Oreochromis niloticus: one gene and its partners. The protein of the gene in region 1 interacts with the protein of each later gene in a pairwise test. Links are inferred from orthologs where the notes say so. Each region holds a gene or a part of one and is shown in the gene's direction. Other genes may lie near its edges.

Region 1 (7,585 bases):
GGAAGGTGTGGTACACCTTTACTGGTGAGGCCCATGCTCAGGGGTGAGCTATGGCTTCAGATCAATAGTCCCCTTTAAAAAGGAAAGAGCCGCTTGCTGCTGTCCAAAGGCTTTATTTTGTTGGTTGTGGCATTCAGTTATAATCTACATTGAAGACTCAAATGCAGGTAGAAATAATTACAAAAATTAAAAGTAACAATACCCAACTATGGCAACCAAATAGAACATCAAATAACAAGATTCAAGACTAACAGATAAGGGTTAACAGGGTCCCCTCTCTATCCAGGCCTGCCGGAAGGGCTTGTCAATGAGCTAAGGATGAACAAGACACATGAACCAGTCTTAAACATCAGTTGATGAAATTTTTTTATTTATAATATGTTTAGAAACAGTAGTTAACATAGGATGGATCTTTAAATCTCTTAGATGAAAACAAACAAACAAAAAAAAAAAACAGCAGCCTCAGGGAGTAGAAAAGCTCCAGGAAGGTTTGGCTTTGAAACCAAAACCTTCTTCCTGTGAGGCAACTCCTCTAACCACTGCACCATCATGCTGGTGCAATAGACTGTCCAATGAAACTTGTGATAATGCATTGAAGGCTTTCTAAACTAAAGAAGAGTAATTCTCCAAAAGTTGAATCTGTTCATCTGGACGTAGCGTTTTGTGGGAGAAACGTTTCTCCCACAAAACGCTACGTCCAGATGAACAGATTCAACTTTTGGAGATTTACTTTCCTGGATGATTGAGAATGCATCAAGACATAAATAAGAGTAACATTTTCTTTTTCAATCTTACTAAGCATAGATAGTTTCATAATGTTATGCCTTGAAGAAACAGTGTAAAGATGTACTTTTTAAACCTGAAGCCTTTATATGCTTTATACACTTTATGCTTTATATATCACTCAGCTGGTCATCTACTAATTGGAAGGTTGGTGAGTCGATCCCTGGCTGCTCCAATCTCCAGCCTGCATACCTAGATATTCTCGGGCAAGATACTGAACCCAAAGGTGCTCTGTAATTCGTTCATCACAGCATGAATGTGTGTGAATGCTAGCTAGAAAGCACTTAGGTGCAAAAAAAAAAAGTGCTGGAGTGAATGAGGCATGTATAAAGCACTTAGAGTGCTATATAAGGACCAAGCCATTTACCATCTTTTTGTACCTCAAAAAGGTGCACATAATTATGAAAAAGAATAATAAGAAAAAGGGTAAAAACTACTGCATTTATTCCATATTCAGGAAGTAGTTTTTACCTTACCTTTAGGGTCCAGTAATGACTAGTGTGTAGAGATTGCACACACTAAGAAAGAAATGCACTTTTACTACACCTGCGATTTCTCAGAGTGTGGGTAACAGTAAGGCAGATGTTCTGATAGCTGAAATGTTCTTCTGCAATTCCAGAATGTGCCATTTTAAGTTTGTTCAGGTATGTTTCATGAATCAGAATCATAGTCATCTTTGTTTCTTTGCTATGTGGCCATGCAAAGAAAAAAAAGTTCTTTTAAAATATGCAGTATACATATATGATAGGTAAAAAGTAAGAAAAAGCAAGATACGGAATGTAGTCAGTATGTTCAGCTATTAAAAATAGTTTAGTTTGAGATCTGTGGTTTGCCTATTTGCTAAAAACCCCCCCAAAGCAAAACGACAACAACAAAAATCTCATGAATATTCTCTAAGTGTGGTCATTTGATCATTTTTCATATTACTGCAAAACTAGTGGCATCACCATCTGTTAATGTTAGCTAGATTACACATTTAATTACCTACATTTTCTTTGGGATTAAAAGATTATAATATTGCACGTTTGTTAAGAAGCAAAACAGCAGGCACTACAGTACGTTAAAGTACCAAGTCTTAGCGGCAATTTGAGTACACTTACATTAGTGCACGAAAACTTGATTAGATCTTGTTTAATATTCTGTAGAAAAGTCAAAGTCCAAAATTTTCCTCCAATTACATTCAGTTGTTATCAAGTATAAACAAATTGTTCATTAGCCCGATCAGGTCACAGGGTCACCAAATTCACTGGTCCTATTTTAGATGTAGCTTCCAAACCATCCTGTTCCACAATAAAACCGTCAACACATTTTAAAGGACACACTTGCATTGTGTCCTTTAAGAAGAATTCTCTCCAGTTTCCTTACATACCGATCACAAAGCTCAAGAAAGCTCCCTAAAACTTTTCAGATATTGCTCATAACTCCTTGTGTTTGTTCTTTTGAGTAGAAGGTGTGGCATCATTTGTCTAATCCAGAGTGTAACATTCAGTCTTTGTGCATTTAGTCATTTTATTGTGGTTAGATTCTGCAAGACTTACATAGATGTTCGCATTTACCAGTTACAGTGTGTTAATCTGAGGTGTGAATTCACTGTTTCAGTTGCAACACAATTTCCAGTCTTCTGCTGCAATGTCCGTTTCTAAATCTTTGCTCCAAGTATTTAGATTTTATTCTGACATGATGTCTTTTCTCAAACACTCCTTTGTAAAATAGTACATTTTCATAGGACTCTGTGAAAAACTAAGTGCGTCTCATGATTCAGCAACTTGTAAAACCACCTTTAGCAGCAATAACGTGAAATGCACACTTTCTGTATGACTTTGTCAGTTTCTCACATTGTTACAGAATAATTTTGGCTCACTCTTCTCTCACTTGCTCTCTTAAGGTGCAACATTTCAGGCTGAAGTCTGGCCTTTGACTTGTTCACTCCAATACTCTGATACTTGTTGTAGATTTGCTGGAGTGCTTGGGATCATTGTAATGTTACATGACTCGATTTGAGCCAAGCCAAGCTAGCTGTCGCACAGATGGCCTCATGTTTGACTCTAGAATACTTTGGTACATTGAGGAGTTCATGGTTGAGGTGCCCAGGTCCTGGTGGGTACAAAACAAGCCTAAATCATCACCCCACATTTGACAGCTGGTGTGAGGTGTTTGTGCTGATATGCTGAGATTCATTTTGGTCAAATGTGGTTCTGTGCATTATGACCAAATATCTCCACTTTGGTCTTGTCTGTTCAAAAGACATTGTCCCAGGTCTGTGATTTGGTCAGATGCAACTTTGCAAACCTAAGCCTTGCTTCTATGTTACTTTTAGAGAGTAGGCAACCCTTCCAAAGAAGCCATACACAGTCATCTTCAGGCTTTTTCTAATTGTACTGCGACAAACTTTATAGTTTAGCATGCTACATGCTAAATTATAGCATGCTGGAGGCTGAGATGTAGCTCTTAGGATTTTTTGCAGTTTCTCTTTTTTTGCTGGGACATCCACTTCCGAGAAGACTCTAGCATGGTGTTAATACTCACCTGAATGATCCAGACTAGCGAACTACCAAAACCTCATCTTACGGATGATCAATTAATCAAGTAGCAAACCTGACTGCTACTTATCCTGTTCATTTCTGTATTAGCAATAGCGGTATACTTAGTTTTTCACAGGACTGCATACAGTCCTAAGCAAATTTTATTTTCTTTAACATGACTTTGCTTTAATGTGGTTTAACAAAACTTCTCAGCTGTCAAAATTATAAGTAAATACAAGTGAATTAATATAATTTTTAATTTTAAATATTTCCAAGCCTCCCAAAACTTAAATCTATCATCAGTGTCAGAGCAGCTGTACCTGTGACTGCCAAAATATCTTGTTCATCAAGACATCCCTAACTGAATACATTTGATGAACACAGTGTCTAGATTAAGAAACAAAACATTATATATTTGGTTTCGTTTGTGTGTTTATTATGATTGAAGTAAATGTGTGTCACCCTCTTCTTCCTCCATACTTCCTTTTGGGAACCACACTTGTGAATATCATCACTTCAGCAGCTACTGCCAAATCACATTCAAATGGTTCAAAATTCAATTCCTCTGAGTTTTATTTTTCTTATTGATTTAGTTTAGCAGTGGTTCCTTTTGGGGCAGTCACCACGAGGAATGATTCTTCAGGGGCTTCTCCAAAAAGCTGATGATGAGATGTTTCAGCTCTGAGAAGCACAGATGGATCCTCTATTCTAAGGTGCTTTCTCTTTAGTTAGTTAAGCAGTTCTTGCAAAAATATGACTAAGTACAGTAGCCAAAAAATACTTTTTGCTGTCTATCAGCACTACTTAGGAGCAACACAACTCAAAGTCAAGAAATTTCACCAGTCAACCTTTAAGCTGTTATGTCCCACCAATACTGACTCAACACAAAATCAAGGCTGACACCAGATTTTTTCAGAAACACATGGTTTTTTGGTTGTTTTGGTTTTAAATCATTATACATTCAAAGGTGAAACTTGCAAGCAGGAGAGTATTACAGCATCCAGCGTGAAGTCTGCCTTCATCCACACCTTGTCAGGTGATGCAGATAACTAGCAATTAAGCCCGGGCAACGCCCAAAGTCTACTACACTGCCACTGCAAAGCCAGTAGGGTTGCAAGGGAGCATAACAAATCTCACATGTTACGAGAAAAAAAAAAATGACTGCCTCATAGAGGTATTGCCATTTGTTGTCAGCGCTGAACCCAGCAGCGGTTGCTTTAAATATTCTAAATTACAAAACATATTTTACTTAATCTGAAGTTTGTATATTTCGCCTCATCACTGGTTATGTTTATTTATTTTTCCACACTGTGCAAAATCTTAAGATTAACTATTGAATAGCAAGGTGTCCGCAAACTTCTTTTTCATAGACCGATTTCTTGCAGACCACTAAAACATCTACTCTACTGCCATTACTCCAATTAGTAACATTTTATTTTAACGATTATCGAGTGAAACCAGCGTACAAACACCCGAATGCCTCTAAAATGACTTATTTGTGACCAGGATAGCGACTTTTTTCCAATTTTCGTGAAAACATCAACTCCCAGAATTCCTTGCCCACGCGTAAGTAAATGACGCTAAAATGTGAGCGACCACATTACAGTACCGGGCAACTATGAAGCTACATTAAAATTTGATACCCAAATCAGTTTGTACACCTAAGAGACATTTTACTGAGTGCCAGCATTCACTTACCTCCCGTAAGTACACATTTGAAGTCATGACGAGCAAAGTGCAGCTTCATAACTGCACACATGTACTTTTAGCATTGTTATCATTTAGCTTTGGTGTACAGTAGTTACACTGTATACGTTTTGACTCAACTTATGAAGCAGTCACCTGTAACCTTGCTTTAACGGCGATATTAGAAATAATAATAACATTGATGAAAGGACCGCCTTTTCAAGACAAACTTCTGTTTGTCATGTTTCACTGTCTTGTGTTTGTTAAACATTATGTCGACATTACAGATAAAATAAAATGCGAAGCTTCCTGTTATTTTAATGTAGGTTTTTCAATGCAGAAAATGCCCTAATCAGGCAAATAGAGCCAAGACACACTCTCCGGCCACTTTGTTAGGTACACCTTGCTAGTAGTGTGTTGGACCCTCTTTTGCCTTCAGAAGTGCCTTTATTCTTCATAACGCTGGAAACATTTATCAGAGATTTTGGTCCATATTGACATGATGGCGCCACACAGTTACTGCAGGTTTGTGACTACGGAGGCCATTTGAGTACAGTCATGTTCAAGAAACCAATTTAAGATGATTTGAGCTTTGTGACATGGTGTGTTATCCTGCTGGAAGCAGTGATCAGAAGATGTGTACACTGTTTTCAGTGAGGTGGAAATGGTCAGCAGCAATATTTAGGTAGGTTGTGCCATCTTAGCGATGCTCAGCATAGTTTGGTTGCAACGAGTTGTGCTTTTCTGTCAGGTTATAGCACTCTGGGAATTTTTCTTTGACCTCTGGGATCAGAGAGGAATTTTTACCTAGAGAACTGCTGCTCACTGGATATTTTGTCTTGTTTGGACCGTTCTCTGTAAACCCTAGAGATGGTTGTGTGTGAAAATTAGAAAACCAACTTCTGGTTGGAAGATACAGTTATTTCTTTTCTTTGCACAGCTCAGAGAACAAAACAGCACAACTGAGAAGAAGAAAGGATCCATGAAAGGTGGTCATGGTGTAAGCTCCGAGGATGCCTTACCACTGTGTGGCTTATGGATGTGGAAAAACTACTGAAGATGGTGTAACCCTGTTTAAATTCCCCAAGGACCCTGAAGAGTTTCGGAAATGGGAGAAGCAGGTCCAGCGCACCCGCATGCAGTGGGTTGCCACACCCAATTCTTACCTTTGCAATGAACATTTTGGCAAGGAGTACTTTGAACCCAGACTGGCATCGGGGCCTCTGAAGCTGAGGCCAGGAGCTGCTCCTACAGTGTTTGTCCGTCCGCACTGTCCTTCCTGCAATGGCGCGGGCTGCAGTAGCTGCCTGCCTTCTATCCAACACAGGACCATTACAGCTGAACCAAGCGAGCAAAGCATAAGTGTGAGTAGCACTTATTTTGGATCGTGGGTTGGGGGGTATTACACCTGCTGTTTACAGGTGGGATGTTTGTTTATTTCCTTCATAGGCTGGATACAATGAAATGGCACCCCTAGAGTGTGAAGATACTAATGAAAGAGGTAAAGAACGACATCTGACAGGAGGAGGGTTAAAGGCACTAAACGAGCGACCAGGTGAGGTGCACCTGCACTCTTAACAATGTTCATAATGTTTTACATTAAGAAAAAACTTTTTTGATTGCATTTTTTTCCACAGTGGTTTGTGAGATGTGTGGAACAACCGGGAATATCAACAACTTCTATTCAAAGACTAAGCGCTTCTGCAGTACATCCTGCTCTCGTTCCTATTCATCAAACTCTAAGAAGTCATCCATTCTAGCACGTCTGCAGGTGAGAAAGAGTTTGACTTTTTTAATATATTTATTTATGTATTTTTGAACACTGGGGAGCACCAGAGGAGCAGTTTGAATTAGCTGCCTTGCTTTATTCAATATTCCATCTGGGGAGTTTGACACAGTCAGTGTCACTGGATTGGGCAAAGAGATGTACTAGTTTTTCCATTCGTGAGTGTGTCGCTCAGCAGCTCAGACAGGTGTGGAATTGCTTTAATTTGTTTCAAAAACCATAGAATTATCTAAAATCCTGTAGTAAATGCATGAACGGCTTCAGCAGGCTTCTGTCTTGGACTTTGATTGCCACCAGCATGCTACTTTCATTGTCCAACAAATGTCACAAATCTTTGACTTATTGAAAATAACTAAAATCAATCGCAGAAAATTCACTCATTTTAAAAGCTGAAACTATGAAATGTTTATTTTTTTTACTGGGATTTTGGCTCTGTGTCTATCGTGGGGGAAATAGTTATCTGATCCCCTGCTGAATTTGTGAGTTTGTTCACTTCCAAAGAAATGAATGGTCACACCATCCCTGCAGTCAAGCATTGAAGTGGATTCGTTGTGCTCTGGGGCTGTTTTTCTGCAAGGAATACAGGGCAACTTCACCGCATTGAGTCAGCAATGGATGGGAGCATGTACCGTAAGCTCTTGAATGTGAACCTTCAGTCATACAGAACACTGAAAATAGGTTTTCCAGCATGACTGTGACCCAAAACCAGGGCAACAAAGGAGTGGTTAAAGAAGAAGCACATTAAGGCCATGGAGTTGCCTAGCAAGTCTTCAGACCTCAGTCCTGTAGGGAATCTGTGGAGGGAGCT
Region 2 (7,833 bases), on another chromosome or scaffold:
ATGATGTCTGTGATTGACTCTTTGATGTCAGCTTGTAAGTTCTGTAAAAGATAATGATGAAAAGTAAATCCACACATGAAAGAACCACGCACTATAGTTTGTTTTGCTCCGGTCACATAAGTTACCTTCTTCCTGAGCTTCCTGAAGAGAGGCTTGAGGTAAGACTCGGTCTGCGAGTGTGTCGCACTGGCCAGCTTGCCCTGAACGCTGCGCTTCACGTGGTCCTCTCGGCTGTTCAGATCTTTGGCCCAAACGCCAAGAAGAAACTAGAGTCCAACAACAAATATTTTCTTTGAGGAAAATGTTTCCAAGAAATGCAGCGGTAACCAACACTAGACAAATATCCATTATTTGAACCACTTCAAAAAGAATAATGGTGCGAAAGGTTAAACTTTTTTAACTATGTAAACATATAAACAGCAGCAGGTATAGTAGTATGACTTTTTTAAATTTTTATAATTAATATTAACCCAAGAGCTCCCTGTAAACTAGGGGTGTCAAACGTAAGGCCCAGGGGCCAGAATCTGCCCCAAAAAACACACCAATTAGCCCCACTGGAAAGCTTTGGAAATTGTGAAGGGTATAAATTTGTGGAAATTTAACTTTAGTTTTACAATTTTTCCTATTGATCTAGACCTCCCCTAGAGTTAAGTAATAGATATACATTGAAATGAGAGAAAAGCTCCTGTTTTTCACCATCTAAAAAAACAAAACATTTTCTTTAAATTAATAAAAACTTTTATTAATAGAAACTCTTTTATAAATACTAGACAATCTGTTCCATAAGCTCACAGAACTTTTTCTACATTTATCATGTAGAAAAACTGAGATGCACTGTTCAAATGCTTCTTCTTTCCTTACATCAAGTCATCTCATAGACTACATATGTAGTTAAACGTCTTTACACTGAGAGAAAGGGGCTTTTCACTCGTCTGTCCCACTTAAGATCAAAGTGGGCTGTATGTGACTCACGGTGTGAAATACGTTTGACATCCTTGCTTTAGATCAAAAGGTCAAGCATGAAATTCTTACCCTCAAAAATTTAGCAATAACATCCTGGTCTCCATCATCATCACCTGTTCCAAGAGTTTTTCCAAGAGCCTAGGGGGGATAATTTCATTATTAACACAAAAACACCACCCACAAACATAAAATGATTGAAAAAAAACAAAAAAAACCCCAAACAAACTGTGCCCAAAAATTGATCTGACAAAAAAGAAAAGCTATTTAATAACTGGAGATTCATTCTTTCTCCTTGGACATTGTGCAATGTACCTCAAGTTCTTCTATTGTGGTGTTTTCTTCGTGCACTTTTAGGTCATGCTGTGTGTCCAATTCTCCTGACTCTGTTCCTCCAACAATCTCATTCAGGTACTGCTGGTCAATCTTGTCCATGGCGGCTTTCAGATCATTCCTCAAGCCCTTGGCACAGTTAAAGCAGCAAATATTATTAGTGTCACTAAAATAAATTCAATATGTCCTTAATACAATCAAGAACATTAGTAGTGACATACAATTTTCCAGAGTAGATGGAATAAATGTGAATTTCAACTGCATGTTTTTTCCAAAATCCAGTTAACTCTCAATCCTACCTTGTTTACTTCTGGGGCCAGAATCTCAATTTTCCGGAGCCTCTGGAAGGCATCATAATCGGACTCGCCAAACAATCGGATCGGTTCCCCTCGTTCTCTAAGTCGTCGAATAACCTACACAAACACAGTGATGCAAATCAAATATTTATACACTTGGTGGTAAGCAAAAGAAATGTTATGATATTTAAAGGAAAATGAATTAAAGGAAAGTGCTGATGTTTTATACTGACTCACCTCCTGTCGTGAAAGTGTCATTGGGAGCTTCTCTTCTGTGAGCTCCAGTTCCAAGACTGGATTAGTTGAAGTGGATGGCTCATCTTCCTCTTTCTTCTCAATCTTATGGACAAAATTGAGGGAATAGAAATACGCCAGCATTATTGGAAGAACATTAGGGCAATTTGGAGGATCTGAATTTAATCTAATCTTCCTTGGCCAAATGGCAAATAAAACTACTACAAAAAGAGGGGGGGGGGCATTGGCAATTTCTTCATGAGCTGAGACCTCATGACCAAAGAGACAAAAAGGCATCAACAAAATAAGCAGAACTGCAAACATTCACACCACTCCCTTACCTGCAACTCTTCAAGAAAGACAAGTAGCACAATAAGTTACCAAAAAAAAGGAAAGAATATAACAAATAGTACATCAACATGATAACTTTCGTGGCTGTAACATCTTATGTGTGATTTAGGCTTCTGCGGGAAATCTACATCCTAACTAACGACGCAACCGGAAACCCCTGTTAACCCTAGCCGTTGCGGGCTGTGCTGACCTGCTGTGTAGTTACATCAGATTACATGCAAGGTTACAGCATAGGGTTAAAAAGTGTTTTTGGTTACATTGTAAGTAACAAGGTCGATTTCCCAAAGAAGTCTAAATCACCCATCAGGCGTAATCACAGGAAAAGATACTCTGTATTCTTTGCACAAAGAAACTCAAAATATACCCAAATCATGCTTTAAAAGGCACATGCATGCCAGCACTCTTAGATTGTGCTTTTTATACCACAATCTAAAAGAACAACCAGCAAATGGTGACAAAAAGCCTTCTGAGCAAACAACAGCTCTTTCGCTTTAAATAAAACATAGTACGCTGCCCGTGTACAAAGAGAATGGCTTAATGAGCCAGGTTTTTAAGCTTTACACAAAGTATAACATAAATACAATCTGCCACTGAGCAGCTGTTAAAATGTCACGGCAAACAAGTTGCACACCATAATTTGCTTAAATATTAAAAGCTTCTGTCACAAATTATCTGCAAAAATAAGAAGCAGAGCTTGATAACAAAAATACTTTTCCATTTCAGTACATTATCCCATGCTGAAATCAACACCGTGGCAGTGTCCCACTTTTGCTTTGAAGCTTCCTTTCCGTGTTCCTTTGCTTTCTGACAAGTGGCTGTAATATGTAACTAGCCTGGCATAAGGCAAAGCTGTGATAATGACTGTGGCACATATAAATATTTCATTTATATGACATTTAAACTATGTTGATAATTTGGAAATGACACAGTTTACCATCCACAGAACGCAGGTGAGTTTAAATCAAGCTTTAAAATGCTTTCATGTTATTGACTAAAATTTTAAAATCACCTTGAAAAGTCTAAATTTATCCAGCAGAAGTGAGCTGGTGAATATTTCCATTTGTGTACAGCTGATATCCAATTATTATACACTAAGTTACTACTAGGTGAGTCCAGGCATCCTGTACCAAAATATCCTCGTGCTTGTGTGGTTATTTGTAACAACCAGAAAATGTGCCCTCCGCTACGTCTTTTCTGTTTTCATCCCAACAGATTTCAGTAAGAACTTCCAGAAAGGATGCCTAGGAAGCATGAGCGTTTAGGACACAGTGTGTTTTATCCTTTTATCATGCATCCTGTTGGCTACTTTCACTGTGCAATGCCATACCTGGCTCTCAGGAGTCTCTCTCTGAACCTACAGATGCAGGCAGCAGAGGCAAATTGGGGAAAAACACCACAGTAAACACAAATACAGACACTGTTGTACACCTGACCATCAACACCTGTCCTTATCTTTTTTGCTGGCAGAAAGTTTACTCGTTATTTTGTGTCACACTAACCAAGCCAGACAGTGAATTAAATAAGTCTGAGTGTCTCAGGAAAATCGAGAGAGTGAGAAGCAGAGTGATGTTGACATGAACCTTGTATCCGCATCTTCTGAAGTAATCTTCTCTTTCCTTCTGTGAGAGCTCAGCCCTTTTAAAGAATCTTTTGGAGTCCTGAAAAGAAAAGAAAAAAGCAGGTAAAATGAATTTATGCTATCATATGATATCAATATCATATATTATTTGGTGGTGGTGATTGGCGGGGGTATTGTTGATACAGTGGTACAGGTAGGACGTTATGCAATAGATAGCATGAGTTTGAGATGAATTTGAGCTACGTGTACCTAATGAACTGCCATGTGCCCCTAGCTCTCCCTAGCTTACTTATGTTTGCATAAAAAAATTATATGTTAGGATGAGTTTAAACGGCATAAATACCAGAATTTCTGCTTAAATCGTGATACTATAAAGGTAATGTTCTGTTACGTAGCAGCAATTACAATTCGTAAACTACAGCTCTGTGTTTAGCTTAATCCTAAAGTTAGCTTTATATTCTACTGCAGATGGAGTTCAGTACTTTATAGATAAAGCTATCGATATGGATGAAAAACGATCATTCTAGAAATACTTAACTAGCCTGGTTAAACGACGTGTTAGCAACATAGCCAAGCTAACAATAACAAGCAACTTCGTCGAATACTTACTTCAACAAGATTTTTTTCTTCGAGGAGTTTCCTCTTTCTTGCGATCTCAGCTTTAAGTATATCCATCTGAAAGGTTTATTCTAACAAAAAACGGCACATTAAGGTCAGTCTGCGTTTACCCAAACGTTAGAAACACGATTGCCTAAACCGGAAGATAACAAGAAGCTTTTCAGAATTTTCAAAATAATTGTTTCAAAATAAAAGCATTAGAACACAATGTAACCTGTGTCTAATGAATCTGTTTTTCAGTGAATTTAAGCAGACACCAAAAGAATAAGGTCAAACAGATAGAAGAAAATAGATACTCCTTTATATATTATTTTCTGGATATGTATGCACACTAGTTAGCCAAACATTGGGCTAACCCAACAATTAAACCACTGAGTTGTGGTTATCGCAACACCATGTTCTGCTGTGAAACATTTGGATCCTAGACTCTTACCTTGATAATTGCAACCCACCAAAACAGACCAACACCATTTCCAAAACACTACACAGTAGCTAATATTTTGAGGACAATGACGGGGCCCAGTCAAGCTCCAAGCCCGAAAACCTCTAAACTCACCACTGTGATCCCACTGTGTCAAGCATCAAAATGGACCGAAACAGGTTCAATCCACAGATGCCCCAAGATCCTAAAAACTGCTGCCAAACAGGGAAATCTGGAAAAAGGGTCAACACTTAGGGGTGTTTGTTTTACGTATCTGGCAGTTATGCTCTATACTCCAAGAAGGGAAGATGAAAAATCCTCACTCAATCTTTTTTAAATCCTCCAACATCTTTTCTAGATTGGTGATAAAGAAAATTATAGCGAAAGAGACTAAATGGCCTTCACTTGTAATAGGTGACTCAATAGTACTTCCTATATTTTCTGCCAGTGACTCTAGAAGTACACAGTTGTTATGACTGGAGGAGGAAGCATGATCCCTTTAATGCACTACAATAGATTTACAAAGATATCAACCACGGTAAACACCAAATACCTGGTAACTGAGTTATTTGTTTCTCCTTTCAGTCAAACAACGTTTGGCTTTTGGCTCTTTTTTTTCATCTACAGTAGCCTGTAAAATGAAGTCCTTTTAAAAAAATCTCTAAAGTTTGTTTTTCTGTTTCAATGCTGTTTGTGTTTAATACCGGTTCACAGTTTGGACACCACTAGCAAATGTCTGACTCGACCTTTCAGATGAGAACATACCATCAGGTGGCGCAAAGGGATATGTGACGATTTTTTAATATTAAAGTCATTAATTTATTTACATGACGGAAGCCAAGAAGCAGCATCATGCTGGCAAAGGGAATGGACTGTAGAATACAACTGAACGGGTCACTTTGAGCTTAACACTGCGAATATTTGCGAAGAGATGAGAGAATCTGTAGCGCAAGCAGGAAAGAAATTTAACTGATTAATAAGGCAGACGGACAGTGATTCCGCTGAGTGTATCCTAGTCAGTGATTTCGTCCTCCCGAAGAGCGAATATTTTTCCACTGCACGACTTACTGGATATTCCACCTGAAGATGGAGTTTGGAGAAAGGAAGAGGAGAAGGAAGTCGCAGAGCTTTAAACTGGTCACGGATGGAGGTAAGCTGCTGAATGAATGCAAGACCTTGCAAGACGCGCGTCTGTGTCTGGGTGTTTGTCTGGCGCTGTGCGCCAGCAGAGACGACTCTGTAAACAAAAGCGATAGCCGCGACAATGCCCAGTCTGTGCTTCGGTTTTAACCAGCAGCTAACTCTAGGGATTCACATCTTGCATGTAAAAGAAAATAAAAGAAACATCCTGGACATCAGTCTGAACGCGTCTCATTCCGGGTAGATTTTTAAGACTGAATTAAGTAAGCAAATTGAATAAAATGTGAAAATATATTGCGCACTCTGAGCTCGTAACAAGGAGCTTCAACTGTGCACTTTTTGCTTAAGCTGTAAGGAACACACCACCTCTCTTGACTACACTACTTCATACCACCTACAGGTGGTGGTTTTTGCATGGGATGGGGTGGGGGTGAGGTGGAGGGTTCTGCTTTGGCAGGCATCACAGCTCATTAGCCCGCACAAGCTTCAACCTTAGAAGGCAAAAGGCCGCAATATCATTCTATGACATCTGTCACCAAGGTTTTGTTGCGTTTCTTTACAGCTGTGCTTCATAACGAAACCATTCTTTTTTTTTTTTTCTTTGCAGATTTCGAGCCTTCATATGTGATTAACTCCAGCTCCAAAGATGCCAATGGGGAGCCAAAGGATGGTGTTATGTCTGATGGTATGTGGGATTCAGAGAATGAATTTTGATTATATATCATACAAGATGTCGGTAATTACATGAGCACCATTCTCTCTTAATGTAGTTTGGCTGGAGGATGAGGGCATGGAGATCAAAAGACAAATCACAGGAATGATGAGGCTTCTGAGCGATAAGACCAGCAGAGTATACCAGCGTGCTGGTACAGAGCAGGATAGCTTAATAAAGGAGCCCCAGGAAAAGCCTCTGAACTGGGTAAATCAGCCTGCACTTTTATCTCTGGTGTCAGAGGACCACCAGAGCAACAGCTGGAACTCTGCAGAGGACCCAGGGCCTTCACCTTCATCCATATCCATCCCAGTCCCAAACGGCCCAGGCTGCGGCCAGTACAGCACACGCTCCAGAGCCCTCAGGATTCTCAACAGCACAAAGGATTTAATCAAAGTGAATGAAACTAATGGTAGGATATGCATGTTTGAAAGGAGAAAACTACTAAACAAACCTTAAGTTATTTGAAGAATAGTGAATTTCATTAAATATTGAGTGCTGAACACCAGAAGTGGCTTACACCTTTGTTGTTACATTAAAGCATGTTTGCACCTGTGTGCATATGTTAGAGTGAACGAGCGCTAACAAATGCATCCCTCATTTCCCAGCAGATGTAGTTCCTCCTACTGTGCCAGAAACCCCCTGCTGTATGTGTAACTGTAAGGGCACCTTGCAGGCTATTTTGCAGGAACTACGTGCCATGAGGAGGTTGATGCAGACTCAAAAAGGTTAGTAAATGAATACCAATACACACCCTAAAATAAAGAAATAAAACACAATATAATGTTTTTCTGCCTTTTAATAGCATCTTTAGAAAGGCAGGAAAGGGCAGCACCACCATCTCAACCTCGCCTAGGTGCAGGACCCAGTCCTCGCCACAGACCTCGAAAGAGGAGGCCAATCTATAGGATGACTCCGTTATCCGTGTTTAGCACCAGAAGAGCTGGTCTTGCTCCTCTGGATGCATCACTGCTAAAAGCTGCACCTATGGAATCTGTAAAGAGGCGAGAATGTGAGAAACAAGACTCATCTACACCCAACAATCATCCCATCTCCTCTGACATTCCTGTGCCGCCACCTCAGACCAACCCAGTGACGATCAACAACACCCCTCCTCTCCTGAACCAACTAAGGGAATCACAAGCATTAGAGGTAATCTGTACCTTAGTGTGGATGTACATATGCAGCA
Region 3 (7,196 bases), on another chromosome or scaffold:
TTGAATTTAGACAATCCGAATGGTATAGTTTCTTTCCACTGTGTTCCTGTTAATGATAAACTGCAAATGTACCCTAAATTACTAAAATATCGATATTTTAATGTGAGAATCGATTCTAGAACATAAATGACTGGTATTGGAGGAATCGATATTTAAGAGCACGCGCATTTTTGGCGGTCCGGAGCTGTAGGGGAAAAACAAATGAACTCAGAGACACAGACTGATGCGACAAAACCAGTAAGCAGGTGTACAGCGCACACTGTAGTCTAAAGCACACAGGAGTATTATTACGTACACTGTAAAATCTAATTAGTTCCCAGAACTCAAAAAAATTGAGGAAACTCGTTGCCTCAAAAAAATTGAGTAAAGCTTAGCTATAAATGACTAAGTTAGGACAACTTATTTATTTTGAGTACTCTGTACAAGCTCATTTGTTCCCAGAACTCAAAAAAATTGGATCAAGTTTACGTAAGATGACCAAGCAGGGGTGGATCTAGAGAAATTTTCTTAGGGTGGCAAGAGGGTGGCAAAGAAATCAAATGGGGTGGCAAAATCAAGGCTTTTTTTTTCAAACACATATGCAGGTGGTTACATATGGTTAAAATGATTCAAATGCAGTAAGTATACACGTTTTTCATATAAATATAGTCTATAACTTAATTATTGTCTGTAGCCCTGTCAAGAGATTTATTCTAAAGACACTTCTTCAGCTGAGAGTCTAAGGGTAGAAACACACAGACGCTGTGGTTTTCACTTGTATACAAGGGCGGTCACAGAACGCTCACACCAGAGTGGGGGCCCTGTGGTGCGCACCCTGTTACCGGTCTTTATTTATATACAAAGCAATACTACAGTGAATACGTCTATTCATAGGCAGAGGAATGTTAGTGCGTAGGGAGTGAAGATAAGAGTGGTTCAGGTGTATGTGTGTGTGTTGTGAGATTCAGAAGGACGCAGCCCCTCTTTTTGTTAAGGAGCGCAGATAAAAGTGTCCAGCTCTCCTCTTCCTGCTTGTTCAGCTATTATCGCAGTGAGAAAGAATTTATAAAACAGTCTTGTAGTGGACAACAGTCTTAGTCATCAAAAGGTCAACATACAGTATTCTATCATATGCAAACTTATATCATTAAAAGCTTATACTGACTACTAAGTACAATTTTCCATTGACAAGCCCACATAATTAAACACTTTAGTTACATAAAACGTGAGTTTTGATCTTATGTACTGTACAGCCTGTATAATAAATAAATATGTAGCCCAATGAGTATAAAACCCAGAAAGTTACACAACATGGGGTGGTTCATTTACAAACACAAGTCTAACTTAACTTTCACACTGTTTTTTGTTAGAAAACAATCAGATTGTTTGATGCTTAAATTACACAAAATGTCAGAAATCTGCACTGTCATGAACAAAAATTTAAACCTAATTTTTCATGATTTGTTGGATTAACCCACTGAGGTCTGAAATACAACCGGCCATTTTTGACTCCTTTTGAGTTTACGTTTGTATTTCACCCTCAAATTGTTTCATTTTATTTTTTTCCCCTTGCCTTGTTTGGTTTCATTCTTTTCAGCCTAACTGAATTTAGTTTTTTTTTTTGTCACTGACATATTGCATTAGTATTACTGATCTGAAATCACACAAAGAACTTAAAATCCTAGTAGTATCTTTTTACTGTAAAAAAACCCACAGACATGTTGAGTAAATTTTTATAACTTGAAATGCAAATATAAAATGTACATTTTGTAAACATATACAACTATTTATCTAAAAATGCAGCCAATACACCTGCCGTTTTTTTCATTTTGTACAACCATTTAAAAATATTACTAAAACTAAAATGAGAGAACAATCAGGTGTTGCAATAAGATGCCCCACAAATGATGTGTGCCAGTAAAAAAAAAGTTTGTCCACCAAAAGACAGAGGAGAACAGCACAGGGACAAACCTGCAGGCCTGACAACAGGAGGTGTATCACTCCGCTGGTTTTCTACTTAGTGACAGTGTTTAAGTTGCAAATGTGCCTCAGTGACATTCATTAGTGCCCTCACTGACACACAAAACAAAACGACTACACAACAGAACAGCACAAGACAACACAACACACTAACTGTACACTCCACACTAAACGTCACAAATCTCCCACATCTAAAAACTCTCTCTCTCTCTGTCTCTCACTCGCTCGCTCTGTCTCGCTGCCGTTACCGTCACTCTAAAAACTCTCCCCTCTTCCTAAACAACCAAATCCCACGTGTTGACTTTTTAAAAAATTGGTTGACATGGTGCATTTTTCCACCGATAGGAAAGAGGTGGCATTTTTTCCTTTCTTTACTGTTTTCGCGCTGTCCTTAGAAAACGCTTAAAACACACACACACACAATTATCATAACTCTGGATTTACTGGCCTGTAATTAAAATTTAAAAACTTTGAAGTCCGAACTTTCAATGTGGGCTGAAATAGAGACTCAGCGTGGCTGCAGCTTGTTGCTATGTCAGCTTACATCAGTCATGTGATTTGGAGGTGCAGCGTGTCCGTGGACCACAGAGGGTTAATAACACTCACCTTCCTTCCATTTCCAGAGTGTAACATCCAGAATCCGAAATTCCCATGGTGTTGTTCAAAATGTGCTCTGGCACAATCATAAGCATCTCTTGCTACTGAAAACAAGAAAAAAGCCGGTCCCTGCTATGGGCTGAACCATTTGTTTATGGTGGAGGGGGGGGGGACACTATGCAATATATTCAGTTTTAGTATTTATATTCACTGTTGACTGTAACTACGCTCAAACTGTTAATGCTATCTTATTTTAATAAACAACACTGCCATATGCAAAACTGAGGTGGCACTTGGGGTGGCAAGGAATCATTTTAGGGTGGCACTTGCCACCCCATGCCACCCTTCTAGATCCGCCCCTGGATTCTTGATGAATGTGTGTTGTTGTTATTCAGCCTGGTTCAATGTGCCCCTTTTTAGCTTTGAGCACCCGCCCCTATAAACGTCTCTGCACGGCCCTGGAGAGGTGGTTGGACTGACCGCGGTGGGGGAGAGGTATGGCTCTGTATGCATGCTTGATGTTGGAGTAAACACGATATAGAGTGTTCTCTCCTCTGGCGGGACATTTGACATGCTGATAGAACTTTGGGAGCAAAGTCTTTATGTTGGCCTTATTAAAGTCACCTGCAATTACGTGAACACCGTCCGGGTGGGCCTGCTGCTGTTAACATGCTGGGAAATGATCTGATCTGATCTTTAGGCGGCACTAAATGACAGAAGTGCATGTACAGGGGTGCACATAAGTGGTCCGCAGGTGCGCATTCGCTGTCAAAATAAAAGACGCGCACCAGATAAGAAGTTGCAACATGCTTTTGCGTACATAAGATTTTCTGGAGGAGGACAGACATTTGTTTAGAACTCCTAAATATGTCGAAGCAAGCTCCTTTAAGCAATTACTTTGGTGTTCCTCCACCTCCAAAGAAATGTCAGGAGTCCGAAGCGCAAAAGAAGCCTGCAACCACTTTTCCGAGAAAAGTGGTTGCAGGAGGTGAGCTGGCTTCAAAGAAGAGCTGGCTTCAAAGAAATGATGAACGCACAGAGATGTGGTGCAGAATATGCCGTGAAAATCCCACTCTAGCGGACAAAAACAGTGCCTTTTATATGTACGCAAACGCGCGTTGCAACTTCTTATCTGGTGCGCGTCTTTTATTTTGACAGCGAATGCGCACCTGCGGACCACTTATGTGCACCCCTGTGCATGTATTTATCTGACACAACACCTCTGACACAGTCCCTGAATACTGGAGCTCCTAAGTTCACGTGTGGGATCGTGTAACCTATCACATGACTGTGGGGAAAGCTTGAACGTGGCTTTGTTCGGCTTTTTCTAAATTACATTTTCTTCTCCTGAAATGTAAACTTTAAGCGGTGTTTTGGTAAAATACATTTCACAGCCCCTAACCCTGACAACAGCGCCGCCTGCTGTTTTTTGCTTTAACGTTTCATAAACTGCAGACATGTGGACGTCATGACGCAGCGTGCGCAGGGGAGTGGCCTGACACCCGGTAGTAATGTGCAGTCATCAGACTGAGTGAAAACAACAACATCAGCTCGATGTTTGCGTGACTCTCGCGGAGGCTTCAGCGCCTTTTCCTGCCGTTTCCCCGGGGGAGAGACAGCCCTCGCACGCCGACACTCCGGCCTCTGTCCCGCTGACTCCCTGGCCTGTGTTCCCCTGAGCGCCCGGAGGAGGGCCTTCGGCAGCGGGCAGAAATGTGGATCCACCCGGAGGAGGTGCTGCTGGCCGGGGCTCTGTGGGTGTCCGAGCGGGCGAACCCGTTCTTCGTCCTGCAGAGGAGGAGGGGGCACGGCCGCGGAGGGGGCTCTCCGGTGAGTTGGTATTTCAAACATTAGCTCTGCGGCAGATGGAATAATCGATTAGTGATCGATAAGCTGAAAGTTGAAGATCCGGGGGTGTTTGCTGTTTTGTGAGTGGGTGATCTGCGGGTTAATCAGGCACGAGCAAAGATGGAGGCAAAGTTTGTCTACAGGGTAAAAATGATTGGTTTGAACTTTAGCACACATCAGCAAATTTCCACGTGATTGAACGTGATGCTGTGCAGCTAACCCTAACCCGGACATCACCGTTAGCTCACACAGTGCTGTAAAATAACTGACGTACCAACATGGCTGCTGAGTGACCTGCACACTCAGCCCACATGCTGCTGTCTGTTAGATTTTACTGCGTGGATGTGTCTGAGGTGGAGCTCCTGAAGATGGTGTTCATTCGTGGTGTGCAGAAAGTGACTTGCAGTTCGAAAACCAGCTGACAGGAAGTATGATTCATGGTCTGACTGCAGGATGCAAGAAAGGTCCTCAGGGGTCAGCTGACAGGAGTGTTTACTGTCCCAGTAATCGAGTTTGTTGGGTTGAAAAGTCACAGTATTTTTAAAGAAGTGGGGGTGGACAGGTGTGAGGCCATATACAGTGCTGGGGTGGCGGGTCGTTTCATCATCGCAGCAACGTGAGGAAGAAGGCCCACTGTCCAAGTGAAGCGTAAAGAGAAGAATCTGTCAGCTTCAGAAACAGAGAGGTTAGAGTTTAAAAGGGCTGAGCAGCTGTGGTTCAGCCTGCAGGACGACGACGAGGAGGTCTCACTGATGCTGCCACAGGGAGGTGCAGCAAAGCCTCACATGGAGCCTGAACATGGAGGAACAATCAGAGGTGAAGACCACACAGCAGCAGAGACCCACCCTGAGCTGAGGTCCGTGTGCTCAGTGTGGAGAGGATACTCCACAGAGTTTAGCTCTGTTCGGTGTCGTGTGATGATCTATATGTCGTAAGTGGCTTAATTTGTAAATACAAAGAATCTGGTTTGACGTCTAATCATCATTCAACATTCAACCAGAACGCCTCCTACATGAGGTGTTTCCTGTCACACTGGGGGGGGGCTGATCCGGGACACACTGAAGACTCTCGGCTGGTTTGACAAGGCTGCAGTAACGCCCAAGACAACCTGGGGCAGGTGATCAGGGAGAACAGGTGTGTCGCCCTGCAATGTATGTGTAGCTCAATGGGAGGCATGGCTCTCATAGAACGATGAATTCATATGTACGATATAACTAATTAAAACTTTTGAGAGTTTTTAAAATTGCGTTCAGCTGGTGGACATGTACATGTGGTCACCACTGAAATGATGAAACAATGTGTCAGAGTAACGACCTGGATGCTGCTGGGATTTGGTTTAAGTCATTAAATGAATTATTTAATAGGTTTTCATGTGCGAGTCCACCTTGGGAACCAGACCAATCAGGGCCAGCGATTGCAGCACCATAACAGTTTGACAGAGGACCAGTCAGGTGTGACTTGCAGTTAAATCACAGACAGGAACCATCAGCTCTGTGACCATCTCTGAGACTCGGACCGACTCGGCTCTGACGTGTCCGAGCTCTGCCTTCAACATCTGTTCAGTCAGAACAGAACAAATAACTGTCTCCCAAAACCAGAACCGTGAAGGTCTGGAACAAGAAATGCTCTCTGATATGGTCCAAGTCCAGAACACCTTCAATCCAAACACTGATCAGATCCAGATAACTGCCCAAGTTGCTTCACCTGTCTGTCTCTGTGCAGGTCTCCTGGTTGGGACTCTGGATGTGGTTCTGGACTCCAGTGCCCGGGTAGCACCGTACAGGATTCTGCTGCAGACTGCGGACTCTCAGATCTACTGGAACATCGCCTGTGGTGAGTGGGCCTCGCCGAGCTACGAACGTGAATGCGGAAAATGTCATTTCTGTTCATGTTTACAGGTAAACGTGTAGAAACACAAAGGCGGGAGTCATAAAGCAGAGGGCCGCTCTGATGCGATGAGCTCGAGTTGATGCTTCCAGCAGTTTAACTCGCAGCCTTCGACTGCTGCTGTTAAAGATCTCTAACATAAAAAGTTGCTTGTCATTTTGGTGTGACAGTCACCATCCCCGAGGTGAGGAGACTCGCTGAGCCAGCTCACCTGCTGCAGAGCTTAGTTCAGTCCAGTTTTATTTAAGAAGTGTGAAATCTCAGTAACAGCTGCCTGGAAAAAGCTTCATACTGTGAAGTAAGAACTCTACAATAGCTCAACAATTAACAGGTGTATTTTCCCCAAAGCTCCTGTTGGCTGGTCTGTTCCCATGTTCACTTCAAAAGCATGTTTGTTTGCGATGTCACTGCTGCCGTCACACTGTCACATGAATGCTGAGCTCAGTGATCACTGCCTCTGAGAGCCTCCAAAGAGTTCTGATGCATGAACCTCTTGTAATGACCTCCACTGTGACCTCAAATAGATGGAGAACATTTTGTCCTCAGTCTGCACAAAATATCTGCTGCCGTCGCTCGAAAGGCCTCTGACTGTTTCCTCTGGTGAGGGGGAGGACAGAAACTCACAAGTTCATCGTCACTGAGGTCGACACCATGGGCTGAGGATGTCTCCTGTCCAAAGATTGCCCAGATTATCCTTAACTTGATGATATCATAGTTGGACTGGCTGTAAGCACATTGCTTAAATTCAGTTAACGTAACCGTGACTCTGTGGTTCAGCTCCATTTTAACTGGCTAAGATCTAAATCATTTCACAGATTTGTAGTTACCTGGTTAGCTCACCTGCAGCTTTCCTGGTGGACGGCACTAATCTAAGAAGCTAATATGAATTTCACTGAAGCAAAGGT
Region 4 (7,488 bases), on another chromosome or scaffold:
CCACTGGTAGTGAGGTTCAGCAAAACTAGGAGTAAGGTGTCAGCTGATAAACATAAACTACTTGTGCATTTTTCAATTCCATCATAACATTCATGCAGTTTGTGTTTTTTTCCTGGTTAGAGCCACGGGGAGCTAATGGAGAAGGGCAAGAGAGCTACAGGCTTGAGACTCCCAGTCAAGGAGTAAAAGTTTCCCTCCTGACTGTACGAATGTGCAGAAGATAATTATTAAAAAAAGGTTTAATTCAATCCAGTTCAATGACAGAAACCACTAGTGTCATCTGCAAACACTGCTGACCCATATGAGAGTCTGAAGGACACAAATCCACTCCTGTGGTGCTTCTACACCTGTAAAATGCACAAACTGGCCCAATAATTAAAAAATATTCCATGGAGAATTAGCAACATATAGCATAAGTTCCTGTGAATCGTTAAGTCTCAATCAGGGTATATTTGAAAAAAGGCAAAGTTTCAGAGTCTTGCTCCAGGGCTGGGGTGTCTGGCATTAGATGGGTTATTAGTTAGTAACGCAGGTTATGGTTAACATTAAAGTGAACAGTTAATTTCAGCCAAGTTTCTTTCCAACTCAGTGGCTAAAAAGTATGAGTAATGAGTAATACAAAATTTCATATTTATAATGTCATATTTTATGTCTAAATTCAAGCATGATCCAAACCACTGTTCAACAAAAATATTGGTATCCAAATGAAAATACTTTTTTCTCTGCCTCAGCTACCCAGTATTTTAAGGCAAGGGGAATCCTTTCACAGCAAAAGAAGAGGGCAAGTGTGGAGTGGAGCACACCTGCAGTAAATCAAAGAAGTCTTTAGGTGATCTTCAGGATGAACGACTGATAACAAAGAAAAAAATATGTTTCTCTTTGGTAGAAACAACATAATATATATATATAGAAAGCCTAAATCTGTCAGTTGCTTTTGAGCCCTCACAAAGACCTGGTATGCTTGAATAGATGAGTATTTAAAACTACCAGAATAAGAATAAATAGAACCAGAATAAGTGCTCCCCAGAATAAATAGAACATTAAAATGAATACATTTAATTTTACTCGCTTTGCACTTCCTAAAAAGTGCAAAAAAAACCATTTTCTTGTCTTCTTTGTTGTCTATAGCTAGAAACAAACTTCAAAAAACGAATCCAAAACTGCAGTCATCCTGCCAGGTAATATCCCCCAAAATTTGTTGGCAAAACCAGTACTGTCATTTTTCAAGAATACATTATGTAACAATTATTCATGGTGTGCTTTCAAAATCTGTTGCCCAACTATTAAAAATCAGCAAGTTCATGTGTGTGGAACCAACGTACCTGACATAGAGTACCTGCCCTCCTTCCACTCTCCTCTGCCAGCCGATGGGGACGTGTATTGCAGTGGTGTGGACCCCATCCTTGTCCCCACTGACAGTATCACTGCCTCCCATCATTTTGTAGCCTGCCAGCACCTTAAAAAGCAGGAAGTGTTAACACATCTTGTCTTTTAACATAAGGAGGGGGGTAACATGAAGGTATCATGTAGTAACAGTTCAGCCTGTCAAGAGTGGACCCAGGGACTCTGCTTCTAAGGAAAGTTTAACCCTTGTGGTATCCCCTACTGCACAACTTTACTTAAGCACACGCGAAAAAACATCCAATGCTAAAAGGGGGGAAACAGTTGTTTAGTCTCAGCATCTATTTTGGGTTTCAAGCCATCTATCCTGCCCCCTCATCCTGCTATCTCTACATTATCCGGGTTGTCAAGGGTATCTATACTAAAGCCTCCATGAACCAGATGCTTACTCATCCCCACCACTTTCATCTGGGACTTTTTGGAGTCTAACTGGAAAAATAGTTCAATTTGTCATGCTTATGCTACAATAAATTTTGCTCTTCTCTTCTGAAAGAGCTTTCCTCATTTAACTGTATATTGTGCAAGTATCAGGGAAGTTCACTAAGCCTGAGTGAGTCACTGAAAAAAGTAAACACAAAAGATGGGTGAATGTTTCTGCAGTAAAGATCTTGCGATCATTAATGTTTTATTTCAACCAACCTGCATGCTTAATGTTGAGGTCACATTCAGCTTATTACACAACATCAAATATCGATGTCGGATATCAAACATTACAAAATGTACCCTATGCGTGGTGATGAAATCAGCCAAGATCTGAACTAAAGTAAGCAGCATGAACAAGGGAAGCACTGCAAATTAATTCCACTCTACTAATTCAGCATCATTTCCTTTACTTTTTAGCTATCATCTGTGTGTCAAAAAGTTCTGGGAAAGTACCCTGCAGTTTCTTTTCTTATGTCTGTGCTGAAGATAATACAAGCCCCTAGAGAATGAATGTGATGTAAACATGTTGAAAAGGGGGAGTGGCCACAGCAAAAGAAAGGTTTTTGGTTTATTATCAATGTAAAAGTAATACCAAGACAAACAAAAAGAAAGTTGCATACCTTGTCATCTTTGGGAAGCCAGGATCTGTTTTGGCTAGAGTATCCACTGTCCAGTGTACATGCTGGTGGGTTAGAAGCACACTGCCAGTAAAACCTGACTTGCCCAAACACCTCGACTTTCTTCAGCTATGAGGCAGATCCCTCACTTAAAGGATGACTCCTGCAGATTTATTAGTTCAGTTCACATCAGAGTAGGGATGTGGGTGAAGGTGGAGAGCCTGCAAAGAAAGGTGGAGGTGGATTATGTAATCTGGCAGCGACCCCCGCGGTAAAGATATCGTGCAATAAACCTATTCTGTAACTGATATGATCTAAGCGTGTTTGAAAAACGACTACATCAGATGTATTAGTCTTCTCCAGAAGAACTTCAGAGTAAGCTCTAGCTGCTTTGAAGTAGAAGGGTGTGTTTGCCTAGGCCCGTAGTTTACTCAGTGTTTAGCGACAGTATAAGCAGCTGCAACAACCAACTCCGAAGCGAACACCCTGGCACATGAAAGAGCAATTAATATAGCTCTGAACTGATGTATCCTTTTTTTTCTTAATTTTGTATCATAAATTGCGTAAAGTATGAAAAAACATCCCACAAAGTACACGGCTCATACACGGCAGCTAGCGTCCAGGCTAACAGCTAGGCTAGCAAGCTACCCTACTTTGTACTGTGTTGTCGTGACAGCTGTCAGGCGCACAAAACACTCCAATACAAAACTCTTGCCCGTTAGCTGCAGTAACAACATACGACCCACGCACAATACCGCGTTGTGAAAAAACCTCTTATAAATCGGATACCTACATCACACTTTACTTATTGATATCCGTTAGCTAACGTCAATAGTAGCAGGTCCTACCAACCTTTTCTCTGCGTCAGGCTCTGTGTTGGCGAAGTTTTGGAGTCTTGGCTTTTCTGGCTCGCGGGAGAATCAAGAGTTAGCTGGCTAGCAAACGGGCTAGCCAGATAATGTTTTGAAAACGGCTGATACTTTAATAAATGAGCGCAAAATAAGTCATTGTGTAATCCAATTCCCGCAGCGGTGTGCTCATTCAGCTCTCAGCATTCATACAACGTCTGCCAGTCCGACTTAAAAACAAAGGGCAATAACGCTTCATTTTACTGCGCCTGGGATCTCGGAGCTAACGCTGCAACCAGCTAGGCTAGCTAGCCAGTCAGCTAACTGACTGAAATTTACTTGATTGTGGAGTGTCCCGACAAGACTGAAGGATGTCCCGCTCCCGGTCTGCAGCTATCCGGCCGTTGTTTTGCTTTCTCTTCTGCTAAACCGTGGAGCTTTCAAATATATTCCGACAACCATAACGGCCCATGTAATCCCCAGTTCACAGTTGCCCACTGTTTTTTTTTTCTCACAAATTCCGAGCAAAAAATAATGGAGTTTTTACTGTTGAGCATGCGCATTAGACGCTTAAGGAATATTGTACCCGACATGCAACGGGACCTTTGTAGTGTTCCAGACAGACCTGAATGAAGCTGTGTTCAGCTCCTTGACAGAGGACATGATAATGACAGAATAATAACATGTGTTCACTTGACAATAGTGGATTCACTTCCGCCTGTCTACACTGCATTTGTGGCCCATATCACGAAATTTAAATGAAAAGTTAAACATACTCTATCCATTAAGGCATGTACATATATATATATATATATATATATATATATATATATATATATATACATATATATCTGTAGTAAAACATAGTAAGGGGCATATCATAACTGTATAGCACAACGATAATAATAATTAATATGCACAGAGATACAGCATGATATGGAATGCTTGGATGCTTAGCAGTGTTTCTGTTGTCTGTGAACAAGTGGGACAAGGGGAAAGAGATGTATTGAAGACAGAAGGAGAAAATGTATCTGATTTCCCCCCCGTCATCGGTGCTCAGTCCAAGGTCCTCAGCTGTTGCAAAGTGTCAGCTTGACATAGGACCGCTAAGCCTGGCATGCACACAAGCACACACCCAAAATCATAGATACACAACTCCAGATATACACTCAAACTACAACCTAAAGTCACTTTGGAAAATATCTAAAGAAGACAGAGGGACCAGACTTTGTGACAGCCCAGCATCCCGAGGGCCTGAAGTGAAGCTGCTTTGTAACATACTGACCATACAGGGCTCTGGTCATTGCCAGCAGGTGAAAACCCATTCACTGAGATTTTGCCAGCACACCGGATTTATGATTTCTTCAGTGCGATCTGTACAAATTTAGACAAAAGGTAGGTTATTGCTGTAGTTTAAAGAATGTTTTTAATGGAAAAAAATGTTTGTGCATGACCTGTGTTATAATCACTCAGTTTATTTGAATTAATTTGAGTGAAGTTCCATTAGTTTTAAAACACGAGCTAAACAACCCCAACTCTGAGATTATCTCTGTCAGTTTACAAACTATGATTTTTTTTTTTATTTCCATAACATTTTCTTAATTTTTAGTTGCTTTTTTCCTGGCTGACAGAGGCAGCCAAATTTAGCTGTGATGAGATTAAATTTCACAACCCTAGAATAGTATAGAAGACAAGCACATTCTAACACTGTGTGGATATGCAAGTGCATGTAGCGTTCACACAGACACAGAAATATATTTTCTATTGTATTACCATATTTGATATTTTTTTAAATACATTTTTAATAAAAAACCAAATGCAGGCTTATTTTCTAATATTTCTTTAAACTTCCCTCTAAGAAGTTCAGGAATATGTATTTGATTTTTCACCTACTTTGAAAACAATTTGACATAATAGTGCATATGGGCTAAGTCATTCAAAGTTTTGAGTAAACAAATAATTAGTAGAACATTCTCTCATGATATCACTTTTATCAAACTGTCTCATCTTTCGGGAAAAAAACCCACCTAACTGTTCACTTTCTAGGTGGGGGTGAACTGACGCTGTCTACATCAAACCATGGATCCGTAAGTATAATTCTTAAAATCAATATACTTGCCTCTTGATACTCATTTTATTGGCTTGGTTGTAGCACTTCTTTACCATTTAAGTCTTAATTCCATTTCCTGTTTACTAAATACTGAAGTAGCCCATGCCAGAAAAATATTCTGGAGCATCATCTGTGTCTAAAGCAGCTCTATGTCCACTTGAAAGAATGTGCGGCAAGGATATCCTTAAACAAATTGAGTCGTATATTAAATTGCCACGATTCTACTATTTTAAGGTGGAATGGGAGTTTTACTTTACTTGTGTTTTTTTAAAGTTTGTTTATAGGCAAAACCTTTTTCCTCGCTTTATATGCTTACATGTTCCTTTAGAATAAAAAGTGATCATAATGTTGAGAATAAATAAAATAACTATCTATAGTCGCAGCAGTTAACCTCACTCATGGCTGTGTGTGTGTGTGTGTGTGTGTGTGTGTGTGTGTGTGTGTTAGGGACGATGACAAAAACTCTGTGGATATCCATGACAACCCCCCAGCTCCTGACAATGTAGTGAGGGAGGACGGAGACACTGTGAGTGACAGCACCATGTCAACCCCCCGCCATTAGCAGTGCCATTCTTGGGCTGTTTAAAATAGCCACCAACTGGGACAGGGTTGCAGTGCAGCATCAGCTGGAAACAATATGAGCTTAAGTGTCCCTGTCTTATACAACCTTATGGAAAAAATGAGCACTGCTGGCTGATCTGGATTAGTCATCGAAATGTTATTCACTAGGTCCTGAAAAGCTAAATGTAAGACAGAGATCAGGTACCAGCTGATAAACAAACAAGGCAAGACACTAATGTAATACTTCATAATACTGTGTGACATTGACACTGGCAGCTCAGTATGTTTAACATTTAAAAACTTTAATAACAACTTATATAACAACTCTATCACATGTTTGTTGTTGGGGGTTTTTGTCTGAGATATGTCCCTTGGGTCTGCAGGTCTATTTCATATATGAGGAGGAAGTGGAGGTGGAGGAGAAGGAACCAGAATCTCCTTCAGAGCCCATCGTCCGGGTCAATGACAAACCCCACAAATTCAAGGACCACTACTGCAAGAAGCCCAAGTTTTGTGACGTCTGCGCTCGCATGATAGTCTGTAAGTGCTGTTTTTTATATTAATGTTATAAATAATCAATCATCATATAATCCCATAGGTATTTGTTCTAAAGATTGAGACTGTTAATTTTGGTTCCTCATCTTTCAGTGAACAACAAATTTTGCCTGAGATGCAAAAACTGTAAGACCAACATCCACCACTCATGTCAGTCGTATGTCGAGTTTCAGAGGTGTTTTGGCAAAATTGTGAGTTTGCTGGTGTGCACTGGATATGAAACTATATCTGCAGTTTCCTTTTACTGCCCTCGAGAGTGAGAGAGATATATTTTTTAAAACTTTTATTAAAAACTTTTTTTCTTCTTTCCTGTAGCCACCTGGATTCAGAAGGGCCTACAGCTCCCCCCTGTACAGCAGTGACCAACCAGACCCAAGTGAGTCCACTGAATCTGGCATGGCAATATATCTCTTGTGTATCTAAATTTCTTAACCTTAAATTCAAGGCTGCTACCGCAAAGGAAACTAAGCACGGTGTCTGCATTTCCTCTTTAGCAACACTTACGATCATTATATTTGACAAGGTGCATTTAAATATTTTTAAACTTAAACATGCTTGAAATGATTAATTTAATGACATTTTTAAAGAACAGTGTAAAGCAGACGCTCAAGCAACATTCTGACCTTTGTGTTGGGAAATAATATTTCTTAGAAAAACAGCAGAATGTATCAATGTCACTATAACACTGATCCTTTTATCCCAGTGCTTCATACATTTAGTTAACACTAAAATAAGAAACCAAGTAAAGTGAAACAGCAAACTCTTTTTTGTTTATTTTCCCTCCGTAATTCACATTCACTTACCTTCACTTTGTTATTTCCCCTGGTCCTTCGTGCAGCAACTGCAGTGGCTCCAACTGCTAAATATTAGTGATTTAATAATAAGAAGAATTTATCACAAAGGTCATGGTAATTTTAGCATTTTAATTCTTTGATTTGTTCTTGTTCCAGGGGGAAATGATTGTACAGCATAC

Evidence for each region.
Region 2: the proteins of l3mbtl2 (region 1) and bend7 interact in binary tests that used the Homo sapiens proteins (3 or more experiments, as listed by UniProt). The two-hybrid records come from large-scale screens. The link is inferred for Oreochromis niloticus from reciprocal best matches to the Homo sapiens genes L3MBTL2 and BEND7.
Region 3: the proteins of l3mbtl2 (region 1) and tbc1d9b interact in binary tests that used the Homo sapiens proteins (3 or more experiments, as listed by UniProt). The two-hybrid records come from large-scale screens. The link is inferred for Oreochromis niloticus from reciprocal best matches to the Homo sapiens genes L3MBTL2 and TBC1D9B.
Region 4: the proteins of l3mbtl2 (region 1) and stac3 interact in binary tests that used the Homo sapiens proteins (3 or more experiments, as listed by UniProt). The two-hybrid records come from large-scale screens. The link is inferred for Oreochromis niloticus from reciprocal best matches to the Homo sapiens genes L3MBTL2 and STAC3.

What each region holds. Positions count from the first base shown.
Region 1 is NC_031973.2:22,453,200-22,460,784, forward strand, and holds the start of l3mbtl2 (lethal(3)malignant brain tumor-like protein 2), read left to right. Parts: upstream 1-4,481; 5' UTR 4,482-4,871; intron 4,872-4,877; exon of another isoform or gene 4,878-5,008; intron 5,009-5,931; 5' UTR 5,932-6,004; coding exon 6,005-6,355; intron 6,356-6,440; coding exon 6,441-6,546; intron 6,547-6,628; coding exon 6,629-6,762; intron 6,763-7,585. UniProt on the Homo sapiens protein: Putative Polycomb group (PcG) protein. PcG proteins maintain the transcriptionally repressive state of genes, probably via a modification of chromatin, rendering it heritably changed in its expressibility.
Region 2 is NC_031972.2:55,932,247-55,940,079, reverse strand, and holds the start of bend7 (BEN domain-containing protein 7), read left to right. Parts: upstream 1-4,657; 5' UTR 4,658-5,878; coding exon 5,879-5,942; intron 5,943-6,539; coding exon 6,540-6,617; intron 6,618-6,702; coding exon 6,703-7,056; intron 7,057-7,252; coding exon 7,253-7,372; intron 7,373-7,449; coding exon 7,450-7,796; intron 7,797-7,833. Other genes in the region: prpf18 (pre-mRNA-splicing factor 18), read right to left, coding at 1-41, 126-266, 1,033-1,101, 1,276-1,422, 1,593-1,706, 1,827-1,928, 3,502-3,528, 3,755-3,832 and 1 more.
Region 3 is NC_031966.2:36,275,424-36,282,619, forward strand, and holds the start of tbc1d9b (TBC1 domain family member 9B), read left to right. Parts: upstream 1-4,023; 5' UTR 4,024-4,269; coding exon 4,270-4,378; intron 4,379-4,748; exon of another isoform or gene 4,749-5,156; coding exon of another isoform or gene 5,157-5,220; intron 5,221-5,529; coding exon 5,530-5,538; intron 5,539-6,126; coding exon 6,127-6,237; intron 6,238-7,196. UniProt on the Homo sapiens protein: May act as a GTPase-activating protein for Rab family protein(s).
Region 4 is NC_031984.2:24,445,028-24,452,515, forward strand, and holds the start of stac3 (SH3 and cysteine-rich domain-containing protein 3), read left to right. Parts: upstream 1-4,371; 5' UTR 4,372-4,684; intron 4,685-5,335; 5' UTR 5,336-5,368; coding exon 5,369-5,376; intron 5,377-5,846; coding exon 5,847-5,925; intron 5,926-6,343; coding exon 6,344-6,500; intron 6,501-6,608; coding exon 6,609-6,706; intron 6,707-6,830; coding exon 6,831-6,891; intron 6,892-7,488. Other genes in the region: mbd6 (methyl-CpG-binding domain protein 5), read right to left, coding at 1,323-1,438. UniProt on the Homo sapiens protein: Required for normal excitation-contraction coupling in skeletal muscle and for normal muscle contraction in response to membrane depolarization. Required for normal Ca(2+) release from the sarcplasmic reticulum, which ultimately leads to muscle contraction.